4 linked regions of the Alligator mississippiensis genome follow. The protein of the gene in region 4 purifies or fractionates together with the protein of the main gene of each other region. This does not show direct contact. Links are inferred from orthologs where the notes say so. Each region holds a gene or a part of one and is shown on either strand. Other genes may lie near its edges.

Region 1 (7,234 bases), on a different chromosome or scaffold from region 4:
TTTTGAGGGCAACAGATGTGGGGCACTGAATCTTAAAGTAACATTAGTTGTTTCTGCCTGAAATGAAGAAACCTGCACTATTATTCTGTAGGCTGTACTTGCTCTGAAAGAGATGACTTCATTCCCCAGCACTGCTCATCTGGCACATTTCCCCAGCAGTGCAGTCACTTTTTTCTGTAAGGAGATGGCTCAATGCAAAGTTAACTCATGTCATTTCCCCCTCCCACCTTGCCAGCTTGTTGAGAGGATGTCCTCTAGCTCAGTGTTTCTCAGCCTTTTTTGTACCAGGACCCATCTGTAAACATTGATGGCCAGTCCTGACCCAGTGCCCCTCACTCCTGACCCACTGTCCCCAGGCCCCAGCTCCCCAGTGTGTGGGGCAGCAGGGGTGGGGGGGTGGTAAGAAGCCCTTTGTAGGCTGGAAGTCTTACAGCCTGCAAGAGAAAAGCCACAGTTTCCCATGTTTTACTTCTTTAGAGGAGAATCCATTTTTTAAGTTTGTTTCTGACCCTTTTGTATAGTCTTGCAACCCACTTTTGGGTTGTGACCCACAGTTTGAGAAACGCTGCAGCTCACCATGCTGATCCAATGGAGTTTTGCACCGTAACTGGAGAACTGTAGTAACTAGTGCTAAGAGCTACATACAAACAGGACTTATGTGAATTGCAAAGTGATATCTGGCTTAGAAGCAGGGAACAGTTGGATATCAAGATAATCCAACCTGTGGGGCATGGAATCTCCATCCTTAGAGGTTTTTAAGACCTGGGTAGACAAAGCCTAGGCTGGGATGATATAGCTGGGGATGGTCCATCTGCTTTGTGCAGGTAGTTGGACTAGATTAGTATTTTTCAACCTGTGGGTTGTGACCTAAAAGTGGGTTGCAAGAATATATGCAAGGGTTGCAAACAAACTTTAGAAATGGAAAAAGAAACTTAAAAAATGGATTCTCCTTTAAAGGAGAAAAATGTAGGAAACCGTGGCTTTTCCCTTGAAGGCTAGAAGAGTTCCAGCCTGCAAGGGGCTGCTTGGGACCCACACTGCCCCTCCCTGCCCCACACATTCATGCCAGCCCCACACACTGAGGGGCTGGGACCTGGGGATGGGGGGCCAGTGGGTTAGGAGCGAGGGGCACTGGGGTGGGACTGGCCATTGATGTTTATAAAAGGGTCCTGGTACAAAAAAGGCTGAGAACCAATGGACTAGATGACCTCTTGAGGTCCTTTCCAAGCCTAATTTTCTATGGTTCTATTATGACTCTATGTCCATAGGGTGCATCTACACGTGCTGATTTAAGCTGCATTAGCTATTTTTAAGGTGCATTAAGGGCACAGATCTACATGTGTGGGCCCTTACTGTGCCTTAAAAATGGCAATTTTAGGCTATTCATGCCTAAATTTGATTCCTGCAAAAACAGAGATCAAATTTAGGCACAAATAGATAAAGTGCCCTAATGAATATGTAAGCACCCTAAGGTGCATTAATGCAGTATATGTCAATTGACTTGGAACTCACTTTAGTCTCGAGTCAGTCCTCACGCCACGTTAATGTGCCTTAGCACATGCTTGTAGACACACACCTAAATTGCCTTGATGCTCATTAGGCAAATGCATATTCATAGATTCATAGAAGTAGGGTCAAAACGGACCTTGTAGATCATCAAAACTGACCCCCTACCCTGGGCAGGAGAGAAAACTGGGCTCAAATGACCCCAGCCAGGTAGACGTCAAACCTCCTCTTAAAGACCCCCAGGGTAGGAGCCAGCACCACTTCCCTTGGAAGCTGGTTCCAGATCCTAGCTGCCTATTAAGTTTAGGCGTGCATAGAAGCACATGTAGACACGCCCTATGACCTCGGGGGAAGACAAGGGCGGGAGGTTTCAAAAGACTGTGTTCTCCAGAGGTTGCCAGGTAGACTGGAGTAAAATGTGTCAGCAATTTATAACAATGTCCTCCCACACAGTGACCTGCCCCTGTGTCATATCCCTCCCTTTGCCCCTGGACTTCCGGTCATTCTCTCCCTCCTTCCTGTCGTTATTGCTCTGTTCTTGCTTTGCCTCACATAATGTTTCTTCATCTTTCCTCTTGGCATTCTGCCGAGAGTCAAACACAAGGTCAGTGAGTGTACATGTGCCAGGTATTCATGCTTGGGGTGAGCACTGTGTGCAGTACAGTTCCCAGAGCATCTGGAATGGGGGCTGCTGGCAGCATGCATCCTGGGTTCTGCTCATGGGGCTGGTCTGGGTCAGTCGAGACCCAGGGGCAACACCAGGGGCTGAATAACAGGACACTGTGGGCTGTGTGCTTGGTACGGACTGTGGAGATATTTTGCTTTCCTGTGTAGCAGAAAGGTGTGGCCCTCTACCGGGACCTCTTGAGCGAAAAGGGACACTTGGCCCTTGGTTCAAAGACCCCCTGGGAGGCAGAGCAGACAGGGAGAATGAAGAGGACAACGACACAACTGGACCTGGAGACAATGAGGAAGACAGCATCAGAATCATCAGCAGCGGAAGTGACAGTGCCGTCAACAGTGACAAGGACAGGGAATGAACTGAGAATGTAAACTCCAAACCAGCAGATTGGACAAAAGGACTGCAGTTGGGTTAGGGAAGGGCAATGGGTCGGTGTGCGGGGGCGCACGGGAGTGGGTGCATTTATTGTAATGGGTGCACAGCTTCTTAATGTGGTTTAAGGTGTGATGGAAAGTTTTATACTAGATGATGTGTATGTGTGTGTATATATATATATATATATATATATATATATATATAAAAGAAGTCTATTGACAACATTTCACAGAAGCAGGATGCTGGCTGCCGTGGTTCCCCTGCTTTACCTGTAGTTAGCAGGTTAGGGTGTTAGGTCTATGTTGTGTCAGGGTTGAGGGTAGTCTGATGTAGTTTAAATTACGGTTGTATGGGATGGTTTGGACAGGGATGATCCTGCCTCAGGCAGGGGGTTGGACTGGCTGACCTCTGGAGGTCCCTTCTAGCTCTACTTCTCTATGACTAGCTGCACCCAAGTGATGCTCGTCTGTGTCTGTGCTACAGAGTGGTGCCTGACTATCGTGAGGGCCAACCTTTTCAGCAGATGTGACCCAAATTAAGCTCCACACCCTCCCTTAGTGCCATTCTGATCCCCCTCCCCTGCCTGATCTGCTGTTCTGCTTTTTACTCCTGCCCTGTGCTGTACATCTTAATGGATCTCCCCATCTGTGCTGTTGTCCTTACAACACTTCCTGTTATGGGCATACCCTAATTCTCCTTCTTAATAGCACTGTTTGCTACAGGACTGATATATTTGACAGTAAATCTGCCTTCATCTGTTTCAACTGAGTGCTTAAAAATTAGCTTGGCTTAGCCTACCTGGGTGTCCTTGTTGTGGGACACAGGCTTCTTGCTTTACAATGTATTATATTTGGTACTAAACTCTGGACTGCTAAATGTCTCTATGAATTTAAAGATAACAGTTGCAAACTCGGCTTCTCTACAAATGCAACACGGCATCCTTTTTTGTTCCAAGCCTGATGCAGATCAGGGAAGGTGCCTGTTGTTCGCTGGAAGCGATCTGTTGATTCCAGACAGCGGCTGAGGCAGGGCAGGGGAAGAAAACCTCTGCTGGTGAATTTAGACTTTCCTTGCAGCAAAACTCCCCTTCTGTGTTTGGACTTCTCTATTCCAGGGAGCATTTAAGCACGTGACACCAGTGGTAGTCGACTGGCAGAGAGCGGCAAGGGAACAATACCCGCACGTGGCGTTTCCAGTGCGCGCTGTCTCGCTTACTGGGAACTCCCCCCTTAACCAAGTCCATGATGTGCCCAAACCTGTAGCTTGATTGATATTTGCACCAAGCAACATCCATACACACCGCGCTGCCTCGGCTGGATTCAGGGTAAGGCCTGAGCAGCCAGGAGCAGGGCGGGTATTTCCGTGCCCCTCTCGTGCTAGTGCTCGCTCTGCCCTTTCTAGTGTCTCAGACCCTGCTCGCCCCCGCGTCCCCAGGGCCCGATCCCGGCTCCGGGCCGAACCGCCCCCGGCCCCGCCAGCCTCGGGAGACGCGGCCTCGTGCTCCGGACAGCCCGCAGGGCCCGGCCGCCTCCTCCCGCCGCCTGCGGGCGCGGCGCTCGCGTGGGCCGGGCCTGAGGTACGCGGGGCGCCGGGGTGGGCCTCGCGGAGGTGCCTGGGGCCGCCCCGCCGTGAGGGAGGAGCCGGGCGGCCGCCGGCAGGGGGCAGCGCCGGCCCCGCGCAGCAGCCCGCCCGGGAGTCGCCCGGCAGCGGAGCGGAGCGGAGCAGAGCAGAGCAGAGCAGGGGCGGCGGCGGCCGAAGTTGTGCGGCGGGAGCGGAGCGGAGTGGAGCGGCCCTGCCATGGACGATCTGGGTGAGTCCGGCCCGGCCCGGCCCGGCCGCGCCGCAGCCTCCTCCCGCGCGCGGCCCCGGCCCCGGCCCCGGCCGAGCTGCTCCCCGCGGGCCCGGCCCGGATCCGCTCCGGGAGTCTCGCAGCGGCCGGGGCTCGTGGGCGGCCCCCGGGGGCCTGCTCCAGCCCCGGGGCGCGGGGCTCTGCGCGCTTCGGCTTCCCCGCCTGGGGCCCCGGGGGAGGCCGCCCCGTGCTCTGCGCTTTCTTCCCCGGCCCGAGGACGTGGTTCTGCTCCGGCCCGGCCCGGCACTGCCCGGCGGGACTCCCCTGGCGGCTGCTCGCCCGCAGACAGCTCGGGCCGCGCCGGGCCGGGCCGGTGCGGAGCCGGCGATGGCCTCACACCGTGGGAGCTGAGCGGTGCCAGCTGCAATTGTTGCATTCCTCAGATTCACCGAGGCGGCGGCGGCGGGGGGGCTCTGCCAACTGACCTGTGCTTTACTTCAGCAGTTGCTTATTTCCCCCCCTTCATCAGTGGGAGGATTTAAGGTGAACTGCAAAGGTGGTCTGGAAAGGTGGGCTCCTGTCCTCTCTGCACTGCTTTACCATGTGTAGAGAAGCCACCCCTTCCCCCCAAGTTTAGTTTAGTTTTATTATTTGTTTCTTACCTTAGGGGGATGGATGCCTGATGTTTTGAGTTTCTTCTCTGCTTGTTCTGGAAGACTTCTTAGAGGTCTTGAGGCTTTTTCATGCTTTGGTTTAACTAGTCCTTTCTGGTTAGATGTGAAGCATGTAGAGCACAAGCAGCAACAAAGCAGGAGTTTTAAGCAGTTTGAATAAAAATCTCTTCCTATCTGAGCAGCACCGGTTTCACTCTTGTGTTACTGGCAACCAGCTCTCAGTTTGTCCATAGAGTCTTGCAGGAAGAGGCAAGGTCTGAATATTTTATGGAAGGAAAAACAAACAAACAGAAAAGGGAAATACTTCTTTCCTCTTAATAACTTTTCCTGCCTACAGACTGTTTCATCAAGAAACAACCCAGCTCCAAGGCTAGTTGCTTTCTCCTTTGCAGAGCAATGGTAGTGTCAAAGTCTTAGCCTTGGGTCATATACAGGGGAGGGGCAGTGTGTTGAGTGGTGCAAGCCAAATTCAGGCTCCACTGAAGTGAGTGCAGTTACACGCTGGATGAATTTGGCCCTATATCTTTTAAACTTTTTGATCTAATGAAAAAAGAATGACCAGCAAGAGTGCAGCTTTCCTGCTTCTGGGACTGGAGATCTCAAAAGCTGAACACAGCAGGTGAAGGGACTTGATTTGGATTGGTTTTTAGGGACTGGGTAATCTAGAACAGGTAAAGCTTTGCTATTGCTTTTCCTTTTCCTCTCCAGCATCGGAGAAATCTGTTTTGCAGCGTGCAGGAAACGCTGGTGAAGAGTTCTGCAGATGGCACTTGTCCGTCCCAGCAAGTGGGAAGCCTGCGTGTTCTTTGTGTGAGACCGTATTGGGGGAAGGGTGAGGAGTTTGAGCAGTTAGCAGATCTGGACACACATCTCGTCTGGATCTTCCAAGATGGGGACATGCTTGAATGCTGATTAAGAATGACAGTGAACCAGTTTCTTTTAAAAATATTATCCACTAGTGTGTAAACTGCAATTACAGTCTGAAAAGGAGGGAAAGCCCTAATTGCAGGATCACCTCCTCTTCTGCCTCTAGAATACTAGAGAACAATGCAGTGCGATGTACAGCAGGAAAGGATGACATGGGCACTCCCAGCATGAGAACCACCAAATACTCATACTTGTGATTATATTAGATGGCAGACTAAGACACTGAAGAGAGCGCTTGTGGTGCTCTGTTGGGTCCGACCAGGTATCCATATAACCAGCTTACTAGAATCTATCACACTCACAATAAAGAAACCTGACTTATTTCCTAGGTAGTTACAGTATTGGACCTGCCATCTGGGGATAGTCTTACATTTGCAGTTCTTCAGTCAATTGGAGATGTAGCTTGATTAGGTGTCCTTGTCTTTCCTTATAGCGTGGCAGAAGCAAGCTCTGTGTAGGAATTGCTCTTCCTTCTATAATAAAATATAATTTTTACTAGACAGTGAACTTCATTAAAAAAACCAAACAAACTTTGTATGATACTGTTTTAACCTCTCAATTACTTTTTGTTCGGGATGATGTGTGGTGCTTTTCACTTAGTTTGGACCAGGGGTGTGCAACCTTCTGGCCCCGCAGGCTGCCTAGGTGTATGGTAATGGGGCTAGTTTGTGGACTAAATGAATCCCATGGGTGAGATCAGTCCATGGACCTGAGCCAGGGTCAGCAGACAGGGTCATCTGCAGGTGCAGTCTGGCACACCCATCTGGCTCCACGCACTGGATCTGACTGTGTATTGATACCATGCGCTGGCCTGACTCCATGTGCCTGATCTGGTCATGAAGTGGATTTGGCTATGGAGTGACTCTGAATTCAGTGCATGGGACTGTCATCTGGCCCGCAGGGGAGCCACAGCAGTTAATGTTGCCATCTCTCCCCTGCCACCAAATTTCCAAACTCATGGAGAGCCCTGTGGACTGGAGGTTGAGCACCAGTGATTTAGACAAAAAAAGTCTGTTTCACTGAATTCTTTGTCTCTGGTTCTTGTGGACTACACATCATTACAAAATTTGGATTTTCAAGTATTGAGGTAGATGTTAGTACCCATAAACTGTCTTCATTGACAGGATGGAGCTGCAGACTTTGCAAACCTCTACTAGATTTTGTGCTTTTTAATTATTTTAGTAAGTCACATTTGAAAATTGTTTTTTTTTTTTAAGAGCTCTTCTTTAGTGACTTTAAAACTTTCTGGTTCTGTGCTGTTTTTTGGGATTGCAAAATGCA
Region 2 (7,758 bases), on a different chromosome or scaffold from region 4:
TGGTCCTGGAGCCACAGGGGACTCCCCAAGCAGTGCCTGCAGTGTGGGGTCTATGTGATATGGCGGGTTTGTGTCAGGGAACACCTGACTAGCATATGTGAGCTGCCTGCTCCCTGGCTGGCTCTGTGGATGCCCGGGTGTAGCAGTAGGATGGTGGGGCAGTGTGTGTGTGTGTGGGGGGGGGGGGGCAGACCTAGGACATGCATCTTCCTCTGGGGATGGTCTGAGGTGCCACACGGGGGGTACCAGAGAGGCTGGAGGCCCGAGGCCCCCATGAGCCTGCCTGCTCCCCACCCATGCCACTGACCCATAGCCATCCAGGCTGGGCCCCATCAGGCAAGCATGGGACCCCCATGAAGGGAAACTGAGGCAGGAGCAGCAGGTGGAGGTAGGAAGACCTTCCTCCCAACTGGGGCCGAGTCTTACCCCACTGGGGTGATGTTAGGGTGCGGCGTTAACCCTTTTCACCCCCGAGGGAGGGGGCCCACCCAAGGCCCCAACGACCTCAGACCCGCATCTCCCCTGCTCCGGGCCGGATTTTGGCCCCAGCCTGGCCTCCGCAGACGGCTGGCACCGCGTGGGGGGAGCCGGGCAGGGACCGAGGTGGTGGTCGCCTCCATCCTGTGCCGCCTCCCCGCGGAGTTGGAGTCCCTGCCTTTTCCAGCGCTAGGGCCGGAGGGACCTGGAGCCGGAGCCGGGCTCCCCCTATACAGCCGCCTGCGGATGCCAGACTCGCAGGCGCTGCCGCAGCATCGAACCCCGGAGCAGCCCCCCAGCGGCCCCGGGCGGGGGGAGGCTGCGGTCCGCCCCCAGGACCCCCCGCCCTCGGCTCTGCCCCTTACCTCGCCGGGCCGGGGCGCCGCGCACCGCCCTCCCATCCAGGCACCGCCGCGGTGCCCTGGATGCCTGGGTTCCCCGCGCGCGCGTGTGTGCGCGTGTGTGCCCCGGACGCCTGGGTTCCCCGGGTATGCGTGCGCGCGTGTGTGTGTGTTTGTCTGCGTGCGTGCGTGCCCCGGACGCCCGGGTTCCCCCGGGAGGGGACGTGTGTGTCCCGGACGCCTGGGTTCCCGGGGGTGGGGGGTCTGTCTCGGACGCCTGGGTTGCGTGTGTGTGAGCATGTCCCGGACGCCTGGGTTCCCCGGGGGTGTGTGTGCCCGTGCCCCGGACGCCAGGGTTCCCAGCGAGTGCTGGGCGCTAGGAGCAGCGGGCAGCGGCCAGAGCGTGTGAACGGAGCCGCCGGCGCTGGTTCCCCGGGGCGGGGGAGCGGGGGCAGGACCGTCTCCCCGAGGCGCACAGCGGGTTGCTCTACGCCCAGCCCGGCGCCCCTCACAGCCCGGCCCTGCCTGCACCCCCCTCCATTCCTGCCTCTCTCACCCGAGGTCGCTCCCTTCTTCCCCTCGCAGCTTGGGGGCCGGGTCTGGGTTCTGGCTGCATCTCTTCCTCCCCCGGGGCTCCTCGACATCTTGAGTGTCACTTAGAGCAGCATCGGGGCTGTTCTAACTCATCCTCCCCCAGTTCCCAGGGACAGGATGGGGGCTGGGATCGAGCTCTCATGGCCACTAGCCCCATGCTGGCTGGGGCTTGGGGGTCCCAGGCCTGGGTTTCTGAAGGAAAGCCCTTCTGTCTTTCCCTGCCTCTTCCCCCTACTTTGGAAGGGGGTTTGGGGGCTGCCACTTACTTCCTGCCTGAGAGCCAGCTGCAGCCAGGGCAGTTGTCCCATGGGGCAACATGTCAAGGGCAGTCAAGCTTGCACCACACCCTGGACCATGGTGGGGGGAGGGGAAATCAATGGAAGCAGAAATACTAACACCCTCCAGCCCCAGGGCCCTGGGGATGCCCACTGGGGTGAAGAGCAGATGCTCCTCCCAGCCATGGGGCTGCATGGACCATGCAAACTTGGGGAGACTCCCCACCAGACCAGCAGCCCACATAGTACAGCTGCCAGACACAGACCAGGCTGGGAAATTGAGGCTCTGGGATTGGGGGGGCAGGCAGGGGGGTCACCCCACAGGGCAGGGGCAAAACCCAGGCATCCTGCCTCCCCATCTGATTCTCCACTCTCTCCCACGGCCTTGTGATCAGGTCACAGAGCTGTCAACAGGAGGCCTGCCCTGGTAGTACCTTGATGGTGCCAGGCCCTGCACAGGCCCTGCAAGAGGCAGGCCATACCAAGGTCTGTGGGGTCCCTGGCAGAGACACCGTGCTGCAGCAGCCCTGCTGCATCTGGATCCAGCCTGGGGGAGGGAAAGGCCACCCAATAGGTCACACCTGCAACCTGCAGGAGTCAGGGGATGTGGCCACAGCCATGCAGGGAGGCAGTGGCAGGTCTGAACTGCCCCACCCCCACCAATTCAGCCAGGCCTCAGTGGCTGCAGGGTAGTGCTCACCACTGGCAGGCCTTGTTCCAGTCCTTTTGGCTCCCCATGGCCTCTGCCATATGCTCCTGCCACCTGCCTGCTCCCCTAGGCTCTGTCCTGGCCATGCCAGGCCTTTGCCTTGGCACACAGCCCATGCACCACAGCATGGCCTGGCACCAGCCTTTGCTAGCAGCAGGACAGACACCAGCTCAGCTGCAGCCCTGCACTGGCCTGGCTGTGCTGGGGAAGGTCTGGAATGGCAAAAAACAGGAGCCTGGGGAAGGGGGATCTGCCAGCATTTGTTGCCTGGTCTGCAGATCCTTGAAACAGCACAAAGTTCTGCTGGGGTTCGGGGGAGGGGGAAGGAAGCATGATAGGAAGTGACCAAGTGCAGGGGGCCACTGCTGCAATGGAGGGGGTATAGATCTGTCTGGGGGGCACTGAGGGCCACTGCAGCATCACCCTGGGCAGGAAGATCCCCTAGCTTGGCCCTGGCTGCTGCTCTGGATGATGGTACTGGGGATGTGGGATTTGCAGGCCTCCCTTGCTCCTCCACGTGGCTGCCTGGGAGACAGTTAAGAGCTCTGGAAGCATCTCTAAGAGCAGCCTGGCCAGGAAGAGCAGGTCAGGGAGTGAGGTCTCATCACAGGGCCAGGGCTAGAGAGCTTTGATCCAGGGGGTTTGGGAGCGTGGAATGAAGCAGGGACTCAGCATTGCTGGCTTTGGACCCAACTGGAAGTCCATGCTGCCCACCACCCTGACATGCAGCTACCTCTGGTGCAGGAGGAATCTCCTCCAGCTCCTTTCACCCATTCTGTGTCCTATATTCCATCGCAGTCACAGGCCATGAAGGGATCCATCTTCAGGCCTTGGTTCTGAGATATCATTGCATCAAGGCCCACTGAGCCCAAGCATGGAGCTGGGGAGTCTTCAAAAGGAGTTTTCAAAAGGAGGGGTCTTCTTTACCCTGGGGGTCTTCAAAAGGAGGCTAGATAATCACCAAGCCGGGGTCATTTGACCCCAGCATTCTTTCCTGCCCATGGCAGGGGGGTGGACTTGATGATCTGCTCAGGTCCCTTCCGACCTTACCTAATATGAAACTATAAGTGGAAGGAGTTTCCAGGCTGTGCAGAGCTGGTACAAGGCTGGAATTCCAAGCAACAGCTCCGTGGCCGTGGGCAGCGCTGTTTGCAGCCTTGATGAAGCGATGACAGTCCTGGCATGGCTAAACCTACACTCCTTACTGAGGGGCTGGTGGGGCAGAGAACTGGGTGACCTGCAGCTGCGGGGACCAAGCTAGTGGGGAAAACATTGGGAATCTGCTGGGGGTTGCATCCAGCCTCTGGAGGTGGGGAGACAGAATTCAAACACCACCAAAGAGACTCAGGACCTGGGCACAGGTGTTTTCCTGGAGTCTGAGCCATTCCTAGTCAGTCCCCCCAGCTTTGGGGGCTGCTGACAGCCAGGGGGGAATCTATATCTGGCTGAGATCCTTCAGCAGGGAACATGTGTACTTATGTGTTTGCACTCATGTTTCCGCCCTGCCAGCGGCTACAAGGCTCAGAGCAACCCCACAACCAATGCAATGGATGGGACCAGTCCTGAGTCCATGCAAGGTTCTGGCCATGGATGCAAGTGGGGAGGGGTTGGCCCTTCCCAACCCCTATGGTTGCAGGCACCAGGTTTCCCTCATGGCAGGCGCCAGTAGCTGTGAGGGGGTGAGGCCAGGAGGCTTTCCCATGTCCAGCCTTGAAGGATCCAGCCCCGAGCTCCTGGCTTGCAGTTGCTAGGTATGCCTCAAAGTAGCACAGACCAGGCCCTTCATGGCCAGCCCCAGCACCAAAGCAGGATGAGGGCTGGGGGGCTGTAAGCACCAAAATAGGGGGGAGGAGGGCACACTGACCTTTCCTCTCCCCCACTATGTGCATGGCAGGAGGGGTGGGCGGGGCAATCCCTTGCCCCACCCCACTTGTGCATAGCTCAGGGGGTCCTTCCCCTCCTCGAGGGTAGCAGTGGGGGGTCCCCTCCCCCTCCCCGCATGTGTCCTGGAGAGGTATCCCAGCATGTGCCTCATCCGGGGACTCTCCTCCCTCTCCCACCACGTTAGACACATGGAAGGAAGCCCTCCCATCACACTGTACTTGAGGTGTGTACACCTTTAATGCCCACGCCATCTTGAGTTGGGACGACGATGCAAGCACACTAAGCAACTGGGAGGGGAGGGATGATGCTCCTCTTGGCCGCCCGCATGCGCGGCAAAGGGAGGCACCCGCTCCCCACAGGGCAGACAAGGTGGGCAGCGGCGCGCGTGCGTAGTGGCGCCGGGGAAGCCAAAACGGGCTGCTGAACGGAAAGCGGGGAGGGCTGGCGGAAGTGATGAGAGGTCGGGCGGAAGTGGGCGTGCGCGGTGCTGGAGGGTTCCAGAAGGGCCCGGCGGGAGCGGCGCGGGCCGGCCCTGCGCAACCATGGTGGACTATAGCGTGTGGGACCATATCGAGGTGTCGGACGATGAGGATGAGACGCACCCCAACATCGACACCGCCAGTCTCTTCCGATGGCGGCACCAGGTGCGTGCAGAGCTCCCCCCGCCCCCCATGGTTGCCTGCATGGCAACCACCTCCCCCGCACCAGGCCTTGGGGGGCTTCCCCAGGAGCCCTACCCCTTCTCCATGGAACCCCCGTCCCGGGCCTGGCCTTGGGGAGATCCTCTGTCTCCTCCTTCAGGAGCCCTCCCTTAGCTCCATGGAATCCCCCTGGGAGGTCTGTCTGCATGGGAGCCAGCCTCCATCCCGCCCCCGCCTAGGGGTCACATTCTGTCCCCATAGGAACAAGCCTCTCCCCCAGGGACAAGTCTTTGAGGAGACCCATTTCCACGGAAACTAGGCCCGGGGGGCAGCCTTGTAGAGACTCTGTAGGTGTCCCCCACACCTCATCCTTGTCCTCAGGGTTCCCCCCTACTTCTTCCCCATGGGATCCCCATCCCAACAGACACCCCCCTGCTCTGCTCCTCTGGTGCTGTGCTCTGCACTGTCCCACGTGCTCCTCTCTGTGGGCCTGGCTCCCCTAAGAACCCCTGACCCCAAGATTGTGTTTCTAGCTCAGGACAGGCCTGGTCTTCCTGGGGCTGCAGATGCACAGCCCCAAGGAAACTCCAGGATCTGTGCCCTTGTGTCAGTGCTGTGACTGAGTTGCTCCTGCCCTGAGGGTGCTGCCTGATTCAGCGCCCTACCCCCTGCATGGCTCATCTTGCCTGGTTTGGGAGGCAGCCTGTCCACTTTACCCTTGCAGAGTCCTTGGCTAGGGTCTTTGCCTGTGCTGTCAGCCAGCAAACCTGGAATGTCTCTCACTGCTCAATTGAGTTGCTACCATCTCTGTCATTTCCATCTCCCCTCCAGCCCGGCCCGGCCCAGCACAAATGAATGGTGCCAGCTGGCAGTCCTGGCTGGGGCCTGGCTATCCTGGCTGACTGACCATTGCAGTTAGCTGTGAAAAGGGCCAACGCTGCTCTTATGTGGTCTGTCTTTGGCCCCTGAGCTCCTCAGTCTCACAGCGTCAGTCCTTGCAGCCCCATGCAGTTGGGCAGTGCTGCCATCCCATTGTGCAGGTGGGAGCTGTGAGGCTGAGGAACTTGGCTTGTGTCGCAGAGCGCATCTCTGGCATAGTGGGGGATGGCATCAGCCTCCCATGTGCCCAGCCCAGGAAAGTAGTGGTGCCCCGAGCCCTGGCTGTGGCCCGGCCCCATTGGACTGCATGCAGCAGTGCGTGCTCAGGGGTGTCTCTTGGACCTCTCCCCCACCCAAGGATATGCCTCACTATTAGTGCCTCACTATTAGTGCCTCTCTGGTGACCCCTCTTTTCCCAGCTGCTTTGTAAGATCTCGAGGAAAAGGGCATTGGTCGTGACTGAGCACAGGAGTGAGCCTCTGAATCCAAACTCCGTAGGCCTTAAATGCTGGAGGCTGCAAGCAAGAGAGGAACAGTGGGGAAAACCCCTGTTCATTCTTCTTTCTAGCATCTGCTCTCCGTTGCAGTGTGACATAGGCCTATTTGTCACCTTTAAGAACATGGGCCTAGCTCACCAAGTGTTTTATTAGCCTCCCTCAGGTGTGGAGGCTACAGGAAAAGGTGCCAATAGGTTCCATGGACACATGGTAAAACAACAGGGATGGGAGTGTTATATGTTCTTACGATGTGGAGCCTGAGTTACAGGTAAAGACCCATAGTACAGGCAGGGAGACTGAAGTACAAGGGAGGAGAGAGACCAGTGCGCGACTGGTCTGTGACTGCCTCTGTGTATCTGCAGTTGTAGACACTTGGTGTCTGTCCCCCTCTGGCCTCTTCTCCATGGCTCAGACATGTTCCTTGATACTAGAGGCTGCTGGGGTCAATGCTGGCAGAGGGGGAGGTTGGGGCTGTAGATAACTGCAACTGTACAAAGGAATAGTGGAACTGGGCACTTGGGAGCCCAAATGAGCTAAGCGGGAGCTTGGAAAACTGATGCTTCCCCTGGACAAGGCCTGAGTCCTTGCAGTGGGTCAGTGGCAGCTCCTGGAAGAGAACCCCAAGCTTCCTGTGCGGTACAGGGCTCAGTCCTTGCTGAGGGAAGTGGCTTAACACAGCACCAGGAATATCCCAGGTGAGCTCTGTTGTGACAAACCAGGGATCTTTCTCTAGGTGGAGACCTGTTCTTTAGCTGGTAACCCTATCTCTCTCCCCAGCTGCTAGCATTTGGGAACCAGCAGGAAAGAGACTTAATTTTTCAAGATTCCACTAGCCTCTGCAAGAGGGTTAGATCAGAGATGGCTAAGCTGTGGCATGGGGCAGATCAGGGAGGATACAGGCAGCGCAGCAGCAGGTGGGGCAGGGAGTAGATCAGGAAGGGGAAGGGGATCACAGTGGCACTTGGGGAGGGCGTAGGGGTGACGCATGGCATGCCTGCCAAGGAGCTTGGCCCCCATAGCTGTAGATACTGCTGTTAGCTTGAGATATTAATGTGAGCTTACTAGCTGCAGTCCAGCCTGGGGGTTGGGGTGTAGTGAGGCACTGGGCCAAGTCCAGGTATTTTTAACAGGTCCCAGTTTAGCAGATGACCTCCAACGGCAGCATCCCACGTGCCCTAGGGACTAACAGAGCCTCATGCTTGGGCCAGGTCACTGCAGAGGTTGTGTTTCACATGTGTTGTCCTGGGTGGAGCTGTGTCCAGGGCTGGGAACACACCCCGTTGGCTGAGGTAGTTCCAGCCTCAGCAGTGATATGCACCAGAGCTGAAGCTGTGGCACATGACTGTTGTGGTAGAGCACTCCCAGTGGCCTTGGGTGGCAGGCAGAAGCTTTGGCCTTACACCCCCTCCAGGAGCTCCCAAAGCAGAAAATGCTGCCCTGAGCTCCAGACATGACTCAACC
Region 3 (7,968 bases), on a different chromosome or scaffold from region 4:
CCACTGCTAAGAAAAATACAAACATTTTAGAAGGGAAGTCCGACACAACAGGACCCTCAGGATATGACTGTGTAAGGAGACATGGACAGGCAATGTGGATAGATGTCATGCACTGTGTCCAGTGTGGAGTTGTAATACACTCCAATGGAGAATGTGGCAGTGGAGAATTACACGTAGATTGGGAAAATGGCAAGAACATGGCTAGTAAATCTTTAAATTGTGTGAAGAGGTACAAAGACACAATTGCAGACTTAAGCCATTGGAGACCAGATGCACAGGACTGGGCTGTTGGCCCATAATGGACTGTGACTCTAACTCCGTGTCACTGGTTCAAATACAGCCAAGAGGGGAAGTGACCACAGGTGTTGGAAAGCCTGTTTCACAAACACAAGCAAGAGAGTTGGGGTGAGGGGGATAATGTACAAACTAGAAACTACTATAGGCTTGTCTGAAGTGCCAGACATCAAATACCCCTGTAAATATCTACTCCCTTTCACATCCTCACAGCATCTCCTACCTACCAACATGCCACATAACTGGGATTCATAAGGTATCTTGAAGTATGGATTTCTTCCTCTCAGGTTTGTGACCCTACCCAGAGCGGTGTCAATCACAAAAGGCTCCTGAAAGGCTTCCCCAGTTACTGGTTAAGTTTCATACATGTAATCACACAGGAAGTTCCAAGATACATTTTGGGTGCCAGGAGAGGCTGGACCATGTATAGTTGTGCTGTTGCCATTTGGATGGGGGGGTGATGATCTCCCAAACCCCCAATACACACATCTGGGGGCCAACAGACCCTCCTCTCAGATAAGACAGCCCGTGAGGCACTACCTAGACCACAGAAGTAGCCCTGGAGCCAATAAAAAAGAGGTCATCAGGCAAACTCCAAAAGATCCCAAAGGAGAGAGGGGGCTCAGGACCAGTACAGGGGAAGGAAGATATTAGGGGCTTGTGGAGGGCTTATGGGAGAGCAAACAAAGTTTGCTAATTCAGCTTTTTGTTTACAAACCCTTCAGTGAACCTGTGCTGAGTTCTGGGTTTCTAACTGACCTAGCCCTTAATTACTTTTCACTGCACTCAGTGTTTCCCATATGGCTGTACATTGCACTGTCATCAACTTTAACCCATACACTGGCTCCACTGCACCTTCATAAAGCAACCCATTAACAAGAACAGCAGCAGCTTTGTTTTGTGATGGTCATAATTCTGAAAAACAAACACACACACACTAATCCAAAAAGATTAAAGACCCAAAAAAAGGAACAGCACTTCCCTGACCTTTTGAAATAGACTGATGTGAATGTAAGAGGAATTGTTTTACATATATTGTATCATTGGAAGAAAGAGCTAAATATGTTAAGACTGGTAAAGGATTTTATGTGGCTACAGGGGGTTTAGGGAGGTAATGGGTGCAAAATAATAATAGATGAATTCTGCACAACTCTTGCAAAATGGGAATTTCTTTGTTCTTTACTGGATAATGTAATGGAAATATTAGCTGTAAAGCTCTAACCAGCTCTTAGAGAGGCATGGGAATATTTTATTTTGCCTGAGTCTGTTTCCATGCTTTAAAGGTCTCAAAAATGAGCCCCAGTTATTTTCTACTTGCTAGCAATGCAAAAGGACTTTTTGGATGAAATGTATCAAAAACAAATGAAGTACTACACTATTTAAAGATGCCTATGGGCAGAGGGGAGGGGCATACACTACAATTTCTTGAAGAAATTCCTTTCCATTTCAAATGTAACAGCTTCCAAAGAATTGCCCAGATGTTACTTAAGTGCTGGGTTATTCAAATACGAATCAGTATTCTAGGAGGGACAAAGACTAACCTAAAGACTTACACTTTCTGTGACATGCATTAATATTTATAAAGCATGGGCCATCTAACTTCGTGCTGAAGCTGGCACACTTGTCCAATGCTCGGGGGGTGGGGGGGGGAGGAGAGGAAAAATTGCAGTATAATGGCAAAATCATAATTGCCTGAGATCTGCAAAATAATTTGGACTATACACCACAGAGGTCATGTGACTGAAACCAGATCGACTGTCACCAACTGGAATATTTGATCCTCACCTTAAACCCGAACGCTCAAGATGTGTTTGACAAACAACTGGCAAAACAGCCGTGAAGCCTCTGAGTCTGCTGTGCCTTTCTGTCCCAGCAGCACAGACAATTTTCCCAGTGCTCAAATACCAAGATAAGCACAAAGGCAAACAATACTGTATTTACCCAACTCTAAGACGAGGTCTTTTCCTCACTGAACATCCCAGAGACCTCGTCTTCGAATCACGTTGGAGGGTGGTGAGGGCAGGGGGCTGCTGTGTGGCTCAGCTCCAGCCCCTACACAGGATCAGGCCACAGCCGGCTACTGCCTGCCCCAACCCCAACCGCAGCCCTGCGCTCGCCCACCTGCCCCTCTCCCTGCCCTAGCGGCGGGTGGGGAGGACAGGCAGCTCGCCCCTGCCCCACCCACAGCGGATGAAAGACGAGCCTCCGAAATTCATTGCTATGCCTGGAACAGGAGAAGCCCTGTCTCGATGCCCCAAGCCCACACTCCGAGCACTGGGAAGGGGGCTCGGATCCGAGTGCACCCGCTGACCCCCAAGCCCCGGCCCGTCCCGCCCCACGTGGCCCCGAGCGCGGCAAGTGCCAGTCTTCTCGGCGCGGTCGGGAGCGGGCTCGGGGCTGCAGGCAGGCTGCGAGCGCCGCCGCGGCGATGCTAGGGCTGCACGTGGGGCGCGAGCCCGGCCCGCTCCCGGACCGCCGCGCCGCGCCGCGCCTGGCCGCCCTCCCGCCCCTGCCGTCGGGCGCAGCTCCCGGCCCCGCTCCAGCTCCCGCGCATACCTCGGCGCCGGAGCAGCTGCTCAGCGCCCGCCCCGCAGCTGGAGCCGCAGCATCTGGCCCCGTCGCCCGGGCTGGCGCGGGGAGGAGGCGGGGGCGCCGGGCACCTGCGAGCGCTCCGCTCCCCTCCGCGCGCTGCTCTGCGGCGGCTCCCGGCGGCGCCTCACCGCTCCCCCGACCCCGCCCGCCTGAGGCTGACCTGCCGCTGACTCACCGCGGCGCTGCAGCCCGGGGCAGCCCGCCCCGTCCCGCCCCGCCCCGCCCCAGCCCGGCCGGCTGCCCAAAGGGCGGCGCCCCGAGCCCCCAGGTGGCGGGGGTGGAAGGGCGGGTGGCAGCGCCGCGGGGACTCGAACCCGCGCTAAGGGAGCGGGCTCCGGGCTGCGGCGTCTGCCCTCTGCCGAGCAGGTGGCAGCCGCCGCCGCCGAGCGAGAGCCGGGCGGCCTGGAGCAGCCGTCGCTGCCCCCACACCCAGCCCCGCAGCTACAACAGGCTTCTCGCCCCCGTGCAGCACGACTCTGCTGGCCGGGCGCGGCGCGCACTGGGGCCAGCTGCCGTCGACAGCAGCGCTTCTCAACCTTGTCTGGAGCAGGACAGACCCATTTGTAAACAGCCGCGGCCAGTCCCTGCCCCAGGCCCCGGTGTGTGGGATAGGGGGGACCCCAAGGAGCCCCTTGCAAGCTGGAACCCTTTCAGCCTGCAAGGGAAAAGCTGCGGTTTCCCACGTGTTTCTTCTCTAAAAGAGAACTTATTTTTAAAGTTCATTGGCACCCCTTTCCTATATTCTCGTGACCCACTTCTGGGTTGTGACCCCTGGGATGAGAAATGCTGATCTAGGGCTGCCTCCAGGAGCAGACTTGGAATCGCCTCAGGCTGTCAGACAGCCCCTGTGCCCAGGCCACTGGGATGGGATCCTGAGACATGCCGGAGGCTGCAAGTGAGAGAGGAACAAGGGGGAAAACCCTGGTGATACCCAGGTCACCTTCCATCCACTCTCAGCTGGTGTGTGACAGGCTTTCCATGTGCCATTCCCCAACGTGGGCCAAAGCCACCATATAGAGCTATAGGGCGCCCCCTCTCCCTCCTCCCTTGATGAGGGGTCCACTAAGGGCCCATCACTGACACCATGGGACAAGTCAAGGACAAAAAGAGATGGGAATGAAGGTCTGTGTGACACAGGATAGTGGACAAGATGGACCTATGGTCTGACTCAGTAAATGGCAGTTCTTATAGTTTAGGACTTAGTCATGCAAGCCAACCAGAAGGCAAGTGTTGTCTCCATTTTACAGGTGGGGAATTGAGGCACTAATCAAGGGATTAAAACACTCACACAAGGTTACACAAGGAGTCTGTAGCAGAATCAGTGTCTCAGCTCCAGGGATAATTGTTCTTAGTAACAATTTTGGACAGCTACTGATCAAAACCAGATTTTAATGGAAAGACTCCATATCCCATTAGCAATCACTGGACACAGCCACTCACCTTTTACATGTTATAATATAAACCTATCACTTTTTAATTTTGCCCCCCAGGTTTATTCTCTTTAATTGTGCTACTAAACTCAGTAGGAGCTCTGGAGGAGTGGGACAAGGAGGATGCTGCTGCACTTCATGAATTGCCACTGGGGGGTGGGGAACGGGACCCTCGACTTTTAAAATAGACATTTTTGTGGGGAAAAGTAATTTTTAAAGAGTAGATTTTTTTTCTGAGCCTGAGTTGTCACACTAACTTTTGTACATACAAAAATAAAGCTTAGAAAACACTTCTTTCCAAATGCAGCCAGCCAACCTACCACTATATGCATCAGCAGCACTTTCACAATGTGTTTTTTGCCTGTCTCATATGAACTTCCTGGCATTAGAAGTAGAGACATCTAACCTAGTTGGAAAATAATTCACTGACAAAAAGAAATAGCTCTGGAAGCAGTATGTTGCCCTTTTCTATTTTATCTGCTTACTTTGCGAAATCTTTATAATATCTTGCACTTCAAATAAATGCCATAAAAGAATATTCTGATTATTTTAATCAGAAGAGTGTACTACTCATCCAATAGCTACTGCATTTTTAAAAGAGTAGTTTTATTTACTGTCTTCTTATTTGAAAGTGCTGATGATGTACTGGGAGATGTACAAAATGAAAATAAAAACAGGCTTGGCCTCCCCAAAACACAGAATCTATAAAATGAGCAAGCCATAAAATAGTTTGATTAAATTGTTGAACGTTGTTTTGAGGTCAGTAGGAATCCTTCTATTTGTTTCAATGGGCTTTGGCTTAGAATCCAATACTGTAAGGAAAGGCGATGCGTTATTATTGCTAGTACTGAAAATCCTAATACACACTTGTGACTGTTTTATTGGTTCAAAGAACAGCCTTCCAAGGAGAACATGGAGGTTGAGCATACTGTATATGTGCCAAGCCTTAGAGACAGTTGCCTTTAGAGCATACAGGTAGACACGCTGCTTCCAGGAGAGAACATGTTGAGAGAGGACTTCACCTTCTGCGTGAGAGTAATGAATGTGTTCTCCTGCACTGCAATTAAACGTTGTCCTCCAGCTTTCCTGAACAACTGCCCTTGTGCCCCCATTCCTGGGTAGTCATTATCCAGTTCAATTAGTACATAAGTATGAACAGCTACATGAGATTTGGATACTTTATTATTTCTCAAAAGAAAAACTAAAGAAGAGCTCAACTGATCATTTGTATGTAAAGATAGCCCCTGTCAAGAAACAAATGATTCATTCTAGTCTGTTCTTTAGTGGCTGATGCACCTGCTTTGACTGAATAGCCTGCAGTAGAACTGTTATCAGTGTTACAGTCTGTGCTATTCTAAGGTTAACAAACGGATTGTCCCCAACATAAAAAGGAGAAACAGATGTTTCCTTTCAATTTTGACCATGCTGATGCCAAGCTATTTTAGGTTAGCAGTATGAGACAGTACAGTAGGGCTTAACAATCCGCAGATATGTTTTTGTTCCTAAGGTGATAGACATGACACCTTAGCAGGAGGCTGAGGCACTTTTCAGGAGCAGAGAATTGGTGAAGCAGGATCTGGCTTGCTTTCTATTTGTCTTCAAGTTCTTCTCCTGACTTCTTCTCACCTACTTCCTCTGCCTAATTTGAGCTGGTACTTTGCACTTTGAAAGGAAGGCTGGCACAGATATAATAAGCGTTCTGCATTTTAGAAGTTGGCTGCAATGGCAAAACAGTTCAAAAAAGAGGCAGAAAAATCTGAGCAGTCTGTTCAAATACAACTGGAATGCACTGTAGAGAGAACTGGACATCTGCCTCCCACCATTACTTGTTTCAATATAGACGTTGAATGAACAAGTCCAAGAACTGTCTAAAGAACAAGATCTTAGCCTTACAGTAATGATTTACAAAAGAAAGCTTTAGAGCTGATCTCTTCAGTGTCAAGGGTGGAGAATGAAAATGCAAAATTCCGTATTTCTGTGAATTACTAGTGTCATGTAACAGACACATTCATCTACCCTTATTTACACCAAATGACACTCTCGCAGTGAAGAATTAATATGAGTGCAGCTGGCAGAATTAAGTGGAGGTTAAGCACCTAAATACTGTTGTGGATCTTGGCCCTTTTTGCCCCAGTTGGTAGTTTAAAAAAAACTTATTATAAGAATAAGCCCACTGTGAATATTTGTATTAGAAAATATAATACTGAAGCTCCTTCAGACAGATGTCTGAAAAACTTCACTCTCTCACCCTTGTGCAATTATTTAGAATCAACTCCAAAAAATAAATTTACATACCTAAAGAGCATTTTAGATGGGTGTAAGCACCTAAGTTCAAAGCAATCTATAAAAACTCTGACTAGGTGCAAGTGTCTGAGGCATATACATTTTTGCCAGTTATTAAAACTAAAGTTATTATGGTGCCTAATATTTCCTTTGGTCAGAGGCATGGGTGGATCTGGGATTTTGTAAAGGGCATGCAAGCCCATTGATTAACACTGTTAGAATGGCTGCATCCCTGCTCCCAGGATGCCCTGGGACAGGGAAACCATGGACAGAAGCATAAGCTGGGGACTTAAACATTTAAAATTTTTTTTTTTCCTTTTTCCTTCCCCTCCATGTTCAGTGGCACATCCCCTCCCCACCCTTCCCACCCCCTGCTTGCTGCTGCTGCTTTCCATGTCCTTGGCTCTCACAGGGGTGGGGGAAGCTCCAGAGCCAGGCTGAATGGGGATCTGGGCTCAGCTATGGACAGCAGCAGCAGTGGCAGGTGGTGTCGTCCCCCCCACCCCCGCCCAGCCTGTTCCCAGGCTGGTGTGGAACACTCCAGGGGGAATCAGGCAGGGAGGAGGAACCCACCCCCACCACTATTGCCCTGGAATGAGCCTAGTTTTACAACAGCCTAGCTGGAGAGGGGCAAAAGCTGCTCTGGAGTTCACCCCACTCCCAGGGTAGCTGGGGACAGCAGCAGTGGTAGATGTGGGGTGGGAGAGGAAGGGACATGCAGCTGACCATGGAAAGGAAAGGGGGAGGGAATTCTTACCTGCTTTGGGGACTTAAAAAAAAGTCCCCAGCTGCTACTCCCATGTTGTAGTCTGAAAGGTGGTGTGGGGGAGCAGGAGTGCAACCATCAAACTGTACCCACTTTGGGCCCACCCTTTGAGAGGTGTTGCCATCCTGAGCCTTCAGTACATCTCATGCCTTTGGCAGGGGTGTCAAATATATAATTTGCAGGCCAGATCTAGCCCCTGGGGCTGTATCATCCAGCCCCCCGGTGCTGCCCATGGGTGTTCAGAGTGACCCACAGGCAACATGCTGGGTGCACTGGATGGTGCCACATGCTATACAGGTCGTCCGTTCCAGCTGGCATCCTGGAGCAGCGGAGTGGTACATAGTGTATGGGTACATAGTGGCTGTGTGCTCTAGGGCCGTGCTTTTTGTAGAGTCCTGCAGTGGCAGCTCTGGGGGTCCAGAGCTGTACTGCACAGCCCAGTGGCAGCAGCAGCTCCAGAGCTATACAGCAGCAGCTCTGGACCTGGAATGCATGGCTGGTTTGTGGGTCTGGTGTGACCTGCAGACCAGCTCCATGCCACTAATCTGGCTATGGTTGCCCCCTCACCCCTTTCAGATGACACCACAGGGCCAGATGCATTTG
Region 4 (6,949 bases):
TGGGGCAGATGGAGATAGGGGAAAAGATAAGCGAGTCTAGGGGATTTTGGCTAGACTGGGTGACCTATGTTTAAGTGCCTGCTCTGAATCATGAAGAGCAAGAGACCTGAATTGAGGTCTCTTGCCTCCCAGCTGCATGTCCTACACCTGTGCTCTTCTTGGTTAGTTTTGGACCAATATGTTTCTCTGAACCAGCTTCCTCCTCATCTCCCTACAACAGAATTTTTTTCAGTAATATTTTCATCCAGTTCTAGAGGTCAGCTGAGGCTTAGCAGGTCTGGGAGTGGTCAGTATGGGGATTCATAAAGTGCTTTGTGTTCCTCTCAAAGATGCTATTGCAAGTGTAAAGTGTCTGCTGGGTTTTTTATGTAGCACTTTTTTTAGCGCTCCTCCATTCCTCCTGGTATCCCCAACAGGGGTGAAGGTTAGTGTAGTAATAAATGGAAGGCAGAATTTCAGCATGGACAGTTGCTTAGAGGCATGACACATGGGGAAATGGAGAGAAGTGACTGGGTGCATGTTGTGTCTGGATACTGGTGGCACTTCTGACGAGGCTAACGATGGATTCGCCTCTGGAAGGAAAACAGGGCTAGGTTGCTCCCAAGTGGTGGCAGTATCTGAGCATGCTCAATCAATGGGATCCAAGTGGTGCAAGTCAGCTTTAGCGAATCAAAATACACCAACCAAACACTCCAAAATCCTCTGCTGGGCTGTGTACTTTGCTCTCGGCCATGCTATCCCTAAGCTTTCCTTCCCTGCCGGAGGGGACCCCCAGCTGCCAGGGCTACAGGGCCAGGGACCCAGGTCCCTGATGTGGGCAGGGTGCCCTGCTGCCCACCTTCAGGGCCTCTGCAGCCCAGTGGGTGCACCCCAGCACTGCAGGACAGAGTGGGGCCGCAGAGGGATCTCTGCTGCTGCGAGCTCCATGCTGCCCTGGCAACGAGTCCCCTGTATGCGTGGCAACAGTGAGGGGCTCCACCGCCTCCTGCTGCTACCACATGCACAGGGAGCATGCACCAGGGCAGCGCGGAGCTCACAGTGGTAAGCCGCTTTCCTGCATGGCCTCACTCTGCCCTGCAGTGCTGGGTCTCACCTGTTGGGCTGCAGAGGCCCCGGGGAGGGCAGCAGGGCAGGAGTCTGAGCCTGCAGTGGGCAGCCTGCTCCCACTCCTGCCCCATGAACAGGTCTGGGGATGCGGGTCCCTTTGGCCCTCTGGAGTGCACGCAATGGTGGGGAACCGTCCCCCTCTGCCTCCCATATGAGCTGCCCACAGTCCCATCCCACTCCCTGCCAGGGCCCTGCAGCTATGTATTGCATCCTCAGGCTCCAAGCCCCATGCACTGCCTAGCTGGGCTGCAGCCCTAGCCCTGCCCAACTCCCTTCCTCCCAATGGGGGCCTCAATCTCCCCCCTTCACACTTACCTGTGGGACCTGCTCTCCAGGCTGCCTGGGCCCATGTGCATATACATGCACAGGATGCCCTCTCCTAGCCCTTTACAAGCTATAACAATGCCAGCCTGCAGAGAGCTCTTTGCAAAACTGCAAAATCCATGGGTTCCTCTGGTGAAGAGGGAAATACGTGGTTTTCTCTGTTTTTGGGGGGGGGGGGGGTTGTTTTTTTGTTTTTCCCTTGGGGAAACAAAACTCAGATCCCTGGTCATGACATCCCTGCTCACTTAGTACAACATGGAGCTTGTGTGTGAACCCACTGAGATGGAACTTCTCTCCTTCCTAAAGAGAACTGGCAGTTCTGGGTACTAGGGAGGCCAGCTTGGTTCTCTCGGGGCATAGTTCCTCATGCATTGTAGTAACTGCGTTCTGTCGGAGGCAGAGAGACTTTCAGACATAAGCTTGATCAATAGCTCTGGGCTGCCACCAACCATCCTCCCCATCTTTTCCTTCTTGATTCAGTGAAGTGGAGCAGAGAATCATCCCGCTCCTCACACATGAGGGATCAGGAGGTGGATGTTAGCTAGCTGCCCTCTACTTCAAGGAGCTGCCAAGGTAACAAGCCTGCAGAAGGTGGGAGTGAAAAGAGGCTTGGGACTTTAGATTAAGGCAGTCTTTCCCTCAGGGTGGCTGAGGGCAAGACTAGGGGAACAAAGGCACCAGCCTGATCTCCATCTGGAGTGCAGGGAACTATGAGCTTGGCTGGGAGGGAGACCCAGTGGACCTGTCTGCAGCAAACAGAGAGCAGTGTGTTGAAGACCCTGCGCTAACCTTTCACCCCCTGTATCTTTCAGGATCCTGAGGACCTAAGCTGAATTCGCCTGCTGCTGCCCCACCCCTTGAAAAGCTGTAGCTGGACAGAGGTGGGTATGATGCTTCTACTTAGTTGGGCAGAGGTGAAGGGGGCATTAAACTTCAACCATTTAACATACAACCAGCTGTAACGAGGGCGAGGCTAACCCCTTCATTTAAAGGTGTTGAGATCCCAAGTCTCAGCCCAGCTACCAGGGAGTGTGTGGACCTGAAGCAATTGACGGAGCACCACACTTTGCTGTGGGTGGGAAGTCTCTTTTGTTGTCATCTTTGTCGGCATCTCCACAGCAGACACCACCAGCTGTGTTTAAACTGTTTGTGATTTCTTGTTCTATCTGGGGTGTAGGGGACAGAGTTGAGGCCTAACGGCTCAGTACACTCATAACCTCCAACCAGTCGCTTATGATTATTCCCTTCAGCTGAAACAGTAAGAGCTCCTGCAGGCCTGAACGTGCCTTGTGTACTAATCCAGCTGCAGAAAAGCCTGCCTTATTATGCCATGTCTAATCAGTCAGAAATGAGTGTTTTGGAATGCTGGCCACTTTCCATCGCACTGCACTTCACCTTGGGGGGGTGGAGGGAGCCCTATTGTGGTGAACATTCTTTGCAATCCTAATCTCTGATAAACCAGGTGTCAACAGGGATGACAGATCCCTCCCTCTCTCCCCATAATCAAATGCATCCTCTATTGCTGCATGCTTTAAACTTGCAGGGAGTAGGGGTGGTTTGATTATGAGAAAAAATGAGATTGGGGAGGGGATAGAAAATGTTATCATAAACTGTTTCTGGTCACTGTCCAGGGAAGTAATCCCACTCTTCTCTCTGCCCCATCTTGGTTCTCTTGCTCTGCTTGAAAAGTTTGCCATTCCTGGTGGGGGCAGGCTCAAGCGCATTGCACCATTCCAGGCACACTGCTTCTGGAAGTGGCATAGCTTCACTGCAATAGTGCTGCTGTGGAGCTAATAATTCTGCCTACATGCTAATTACCCTGCAGTGCATTTTCAGTGGAGATGTGCCCATGGGTGACCACTTTACAGTTTGCGTAAAGTTTGGAACTTGAGCTTAGCCTGTAAGCTCCTTGGGGCTGGAGCTGGTTGTTTGTGCCTCTGGGGCCCTGGTCCATGAGTGGAACTCAGCGTTACCAACACAAATGCACAGTAATGGCTGTAGGGCTGAGAAGGAGTCTGGTTTTGAAGCATCTATCTTTTGCACCCAGGATCTTGGTACACTTTCAGTTACCAGGCTGGGTTTTCCCTCCTTGTGTGTTGCGACCAGGGCCTGGAAAGCTGGGCCAGGAGCCCTGGCAGTGCTGGCTCCTTCCTGAAGTAGCAGCAGTACCTGCATCAAAGGGTTGTGCCTGGCACTGCTCTGGCTCTGCTGTGACTCGGGGGGGCGCCTAGCCACTCCCCAGGGAGGCTATATCCTGCTGGTGCTAGCATTGTCTGCTTTCATCTGGTAACTTCCCAGAAGCTTGTTTAACAGGGCTGAAAGAGATGGAGCTAGAGTGGGTAGGTAGGAGTTGGCCTGGCTGCTATCTAATGGGCACTGGATTTACCTGCTGTGTTTTCCCCTTCCTCTTTTCTTCTGTGGCTCATTCTTTCTCCCTCCTCCTGGTAGAGCCACTGATCTCTCTCTCTCTCTTTCAGAGACCTTCGCACACAGCACATTCCTGATATGTCCTCACTGCTTCTCTCAAAGCACATTCCTTCCTGGTACTACGGAATAGATGTTGACCCTTTCAGGCTTTTATCAGGAGCTCCTTCTAGGGCTGCTTTCACAATACTGCTTCAGTCTGTGCAGGTAGATTTTGGAATTAAGTTGTTTATCACATTTAACCTTTTCATCATCAGTGCAGCTGCCTAGCTGCTGTGACAACTGCCAAAAATGTGGCGATTTTCCTGGCCAGGATCAGCTCTCTTTGAACCACCTATAACCAGTCCCTTGTCCTTCTTAAAGATCTGCTGGAGCAGCGTTTCTCAGTCTGTGGATCATGATCCACAGTTCACAATAATATATGAAAGAGTCACAAACTTTAAAAAATGGATCTACACACTTTAAAAATGGATTCTCCTTTAAAGAAGAAAAAAGGGGGAATTTGTGGCTTTTCCCTTGCAGGCTGGTAGAGTTTCAACCTTCAAGGGGCTGTTTGGGGAGGCCCCCCCATACCTGACATGTTTGGGGGCTGGGGGTCAGGGGCAGCAGGTTGTTGAGCACGGGACACTGGATCTGGACTGGCCATTGATGTTTACAAATGGTTCCTGGTACAAAAAAGGTTAAGAGCTACTGTGCTAGAGAAAGCTGCCTGCTGGGTGACCTGAAGTGACTCATCCTTTGCATAAGGAGTGGGGTGGGGAGGGATAGAGTTACAAGCTGGCAGCATTGCTGAGAGGAGCACCTTGCTGGAGCACCAGCAGTCACTTTGCCCACAAAGGATAGAGCTACGCAGACAACAAAGGCAAGCTAGCATTGATCAGGCTCCTATGGGTAATGATGGCAGTGAAGAGGGGGCAACACAGGCCTGATGGGGCCATTGAGCACATACTTGATCTGCCAGCTCACGCTGATGTTGCTATATCTTCACTGCTACTTGAACTAGCAATATAAAGGTGTTGTGGGCTGGCATAGCTGTACTGCAGTTGTACCTTCATCTGCTATATAGACAACAGAAGCCCGAGGGAGCTCAGTGGGGCTTCTGCTGGTATTGCTTGGACCTGAGCCATTCACTTGTGTGGGGAAGGGAGTCTCTTTTATCCAGAGGCCTTTTCCCTCTCTCCCCAAATTTCTGTGACCCTGACAAAGGGGATTTTAGACTTAACGATGTGTGAACCTGTTGTTCAGCCCTACTTCTAGTTTAGGCTCCCTATGGTAGGTCATGGGTTTGTATTAGCAGGGGTGGGTTGTGTTGAGGCAGCGCAGAAAGGTGCTGACTTGTAACCAGAGACAGCACAGAGCTTGGAAAGTGTCAAGTCTATGTTGAGCAAAGGAAGGGTGACTACCTTGGAGGACTGAGGTACATGTCTGTTCCCTCCACCAGCCCCATACCTTCTGAGACTTCCCTCACTCTTATCCTCCATCCTGGCTTTTTATTTTTGCCTCTGTACATTGTGCTCAATAGCCCTGTATTCCTTTCTGCCTCTGCACTGCTCTCTCTTGTCCCAGCAGAACAGTACAGTGCAAGCCAGTACCCTGCAGCACTTCCAAGGTTTTTGTATTCTGTTTTTGCAGCCAAAGCCCTAGATGTCTGCGTAAGGGAGATGCCAAATTGGGCCTTGTCAGAGCAGTGTACTTCCTGTGATTCAGCACAAAGCTAATGGATCCTTCTTAAAGTGGTAAACCCAGGGAAGGACAGGGGTTGCCACGGGTCACTACAGCATAAACGGGGATCTTCCCCTATGCCAAGTATGGAGCCCTCCCTCTAGTGACTACTTGTGCCATATAGGCTCTTGGCCTGTACTGACCCTGGCTTGGAGCTCGTGTACCTCCATGATGCATATTGTGCTGTGACCTTCTTCATGCTACCTTAAGGAACTTCATGGTGCACTGCGTGGTAGAGCCAGACCTGAATATTGGCTTTTGCCCAGCTGAGGCCTGCAACCTGGACTGATGCCATGGAACAGTGGCTTGCAGCGGATGGGGGAGGAGAAAGTCAAGGACTTCTGTCTCCCAGTTAGGGCCTTTGCTGGACAGAGTCTTCTGTGAGAGACCCTGCCGGGACTGATGGGACCAAAAGGCCTTGAGTGACATAAATGACCATCAAGATTGCCATGGCAACCACAGTCCCTTCTCCCTTGCTTCGACCTGCCAATGAAAGGCTGGGACTTGTCTTGTGACCTGCAGCATCTTCAGCTGCATGGAGTTCCTCACATTTTATAGGACTGGTCCTTGTGGGTGCCGAGTATAGCCGGAATGGGGCTGTGATGGAGTGGAATTAGGCACAAACGCGTACTGGTTGAATTGAAAAGAACTTTACTTACAAACTGACGTACAGGGACTTGCGACGATGCACACAGTGTAGGCACTAGCAAAATCACCGATGTTTTCTGAGCATGCAGGGTATGGGGTACGTCGGGACGGTCGTCGAAGGGGAGTGGTTGGTGGTTGATCAGGCCCCAATTTTGCTCCAAGGTACACGAGGAACTAGTTCCCAACGTACACGCGGAGTTCTCCGACTTGGGCGGAAACTACCCAAGCTTTTATACGGCTAGTGAGCCAATTGCTAGCCGCCGGTATGAATAATTTACAATGAGCCAATCGGTAGCCTGCATCCAAATGGTGCAACTGCTAGTTTTGGCGGGAGCTGATCACTGCACCAAGGCTTTTCCCGCCGTAGCGAGGCATCCCTTGCACTGAGTACTCGCATCATGCTAAGAATTCTGCTGTGTCGAGGCACTTTTAATTACTAAGTACAGACAGTCCTATTGTGTGAAGAGCATCTTTCAGTGGTGGTGAAAATAAGCTGGACTAGTTAGCGTCATTCTGGATGGCAAGGAGCACCTCATCTCCAGGTACCTATGGAGAGACAATTAACTGGGCTATGGCCCTCATCACTGCATGCAGGCTCCCCCAGGAGACTGAGCCAAAGGCATCAGAACTAACTGTGCCTTCTGGGACCTGGGATTAGAATGTATATTTTGAGCTGGGTAAGGTTTTTTGTTGTGTTTTTTTTTTTGGGGGGGGTGGAACTGTG

Evidence for each region.
Region 1: the proteins of SRC (region 4) and PXN purify together in Homo sapiens (co-immunoprecipitation; 4 studies listed by BioGRID and IntAct, with this or other methods). This does not show direct contact. The link is inferred for Alligator mississippiensis from reciprocal best matches to the Homo sapiens genes SRC and PXN.
Region 2: the proteins of SRC (region 4) and CDC37 purify together in Homo sapiens (affinity purification with mass spectrometry; 3 studies listed by BioGRID and IntAct, with this or other methods). This does not show direct contact. The link is inferred for Alligator mississippiensis from reciprocal best matches to the Homo sapiens genes SRC and CDC37.
Region 3: the proteins of SRC (region 4) and MET purify together in Homo sapiens (co-immunoprecipitation; 4 studies listed by BioGRID and IntAct, with this or other methods). This does not show direct contact. The link is inferred for Alligator mississippiensis from reciprocal best matches to the Homo sapiens genes SRC and MET.

What each region holds. Positions count from the first base shown.
Region 1 is NC_081833.1:21,181,629-21,188,862, forward strand, and holds the start of PXN (paxillin), read left to right. Parts: upstream 1-4,219; 5' UTR 4,220-4,360; coding exon 4,361-4,373; intron 4,374-4,384; exon of another isoform or gene 4,385-4,921; intron 4,922-5,014; exon of another isoform or gene 5,015-5,400; intron 5,401-5,734; exon of another isoform or gene 5,735-7,234. UniProt on the Homo sapiens protein: Cytoskeletal protein involved in actin-membrane attachment at sites of cell adhesion to the extracellular matrix (focal adhesion). Recruits other proteins such as TRIM15 to focal adhesion.
Region 2 is NC_081831.1:22,389,152-22,396,909, reverse strand, and holds the start of CDC37 (hsp90 co-chaperone Cdc37), read left to right. Parts: upstream 1-4,752; 5' UTR 4,753-4,822; coding exon 4,823-4,924; intron 4,925-7,758. UniProt on the Homo sapiens protein: Co-chaperone that binds to numerous kinases and promotes their interaction with the Hsp90 complex, resulting in stabilization and promotion of their activity. Inhibits HSP90AA1 ATPase activity.
Region 3 is NC_081827.1:49,356,373-49,364,340, forward strand, and holds the start of MET (hepatocyte growth factor receptor), read right to left. Parts: upstream 3,013-7,968; 5' UTR 2,851-3,012; intron 1-2,850. UniProt on the Homo sapiens protein: Receptor tyrosine kinase that transduces signals from the extracellular matrix into the cytoplasm by binding to hepatocyte growth factor/HGF ligand. Regulates many physiological processes including proliferation, scattering, morphogenesis and survival.
Region 4 is NC_081832.1:17,296,009-17,302,957, reverse strand, and holds the start of SRC (proto-oncogene tyrosine-protein kinase Src), read left to right. Parts: upstream 1-3,942; 5' UTR 3,943-3,988; coding exon 3,989-4,062; intron 4,063-6,949. UniProt on the Homo sapiens protein: Non-receptor protein tyrosine kinase which is activated following engagement of many different classes of cellular receptors including immune response receptors, integrins and other adhesion receptors, receptor protein tyrosine kinases, G protein-coupled receptors as well as cytokine receptors.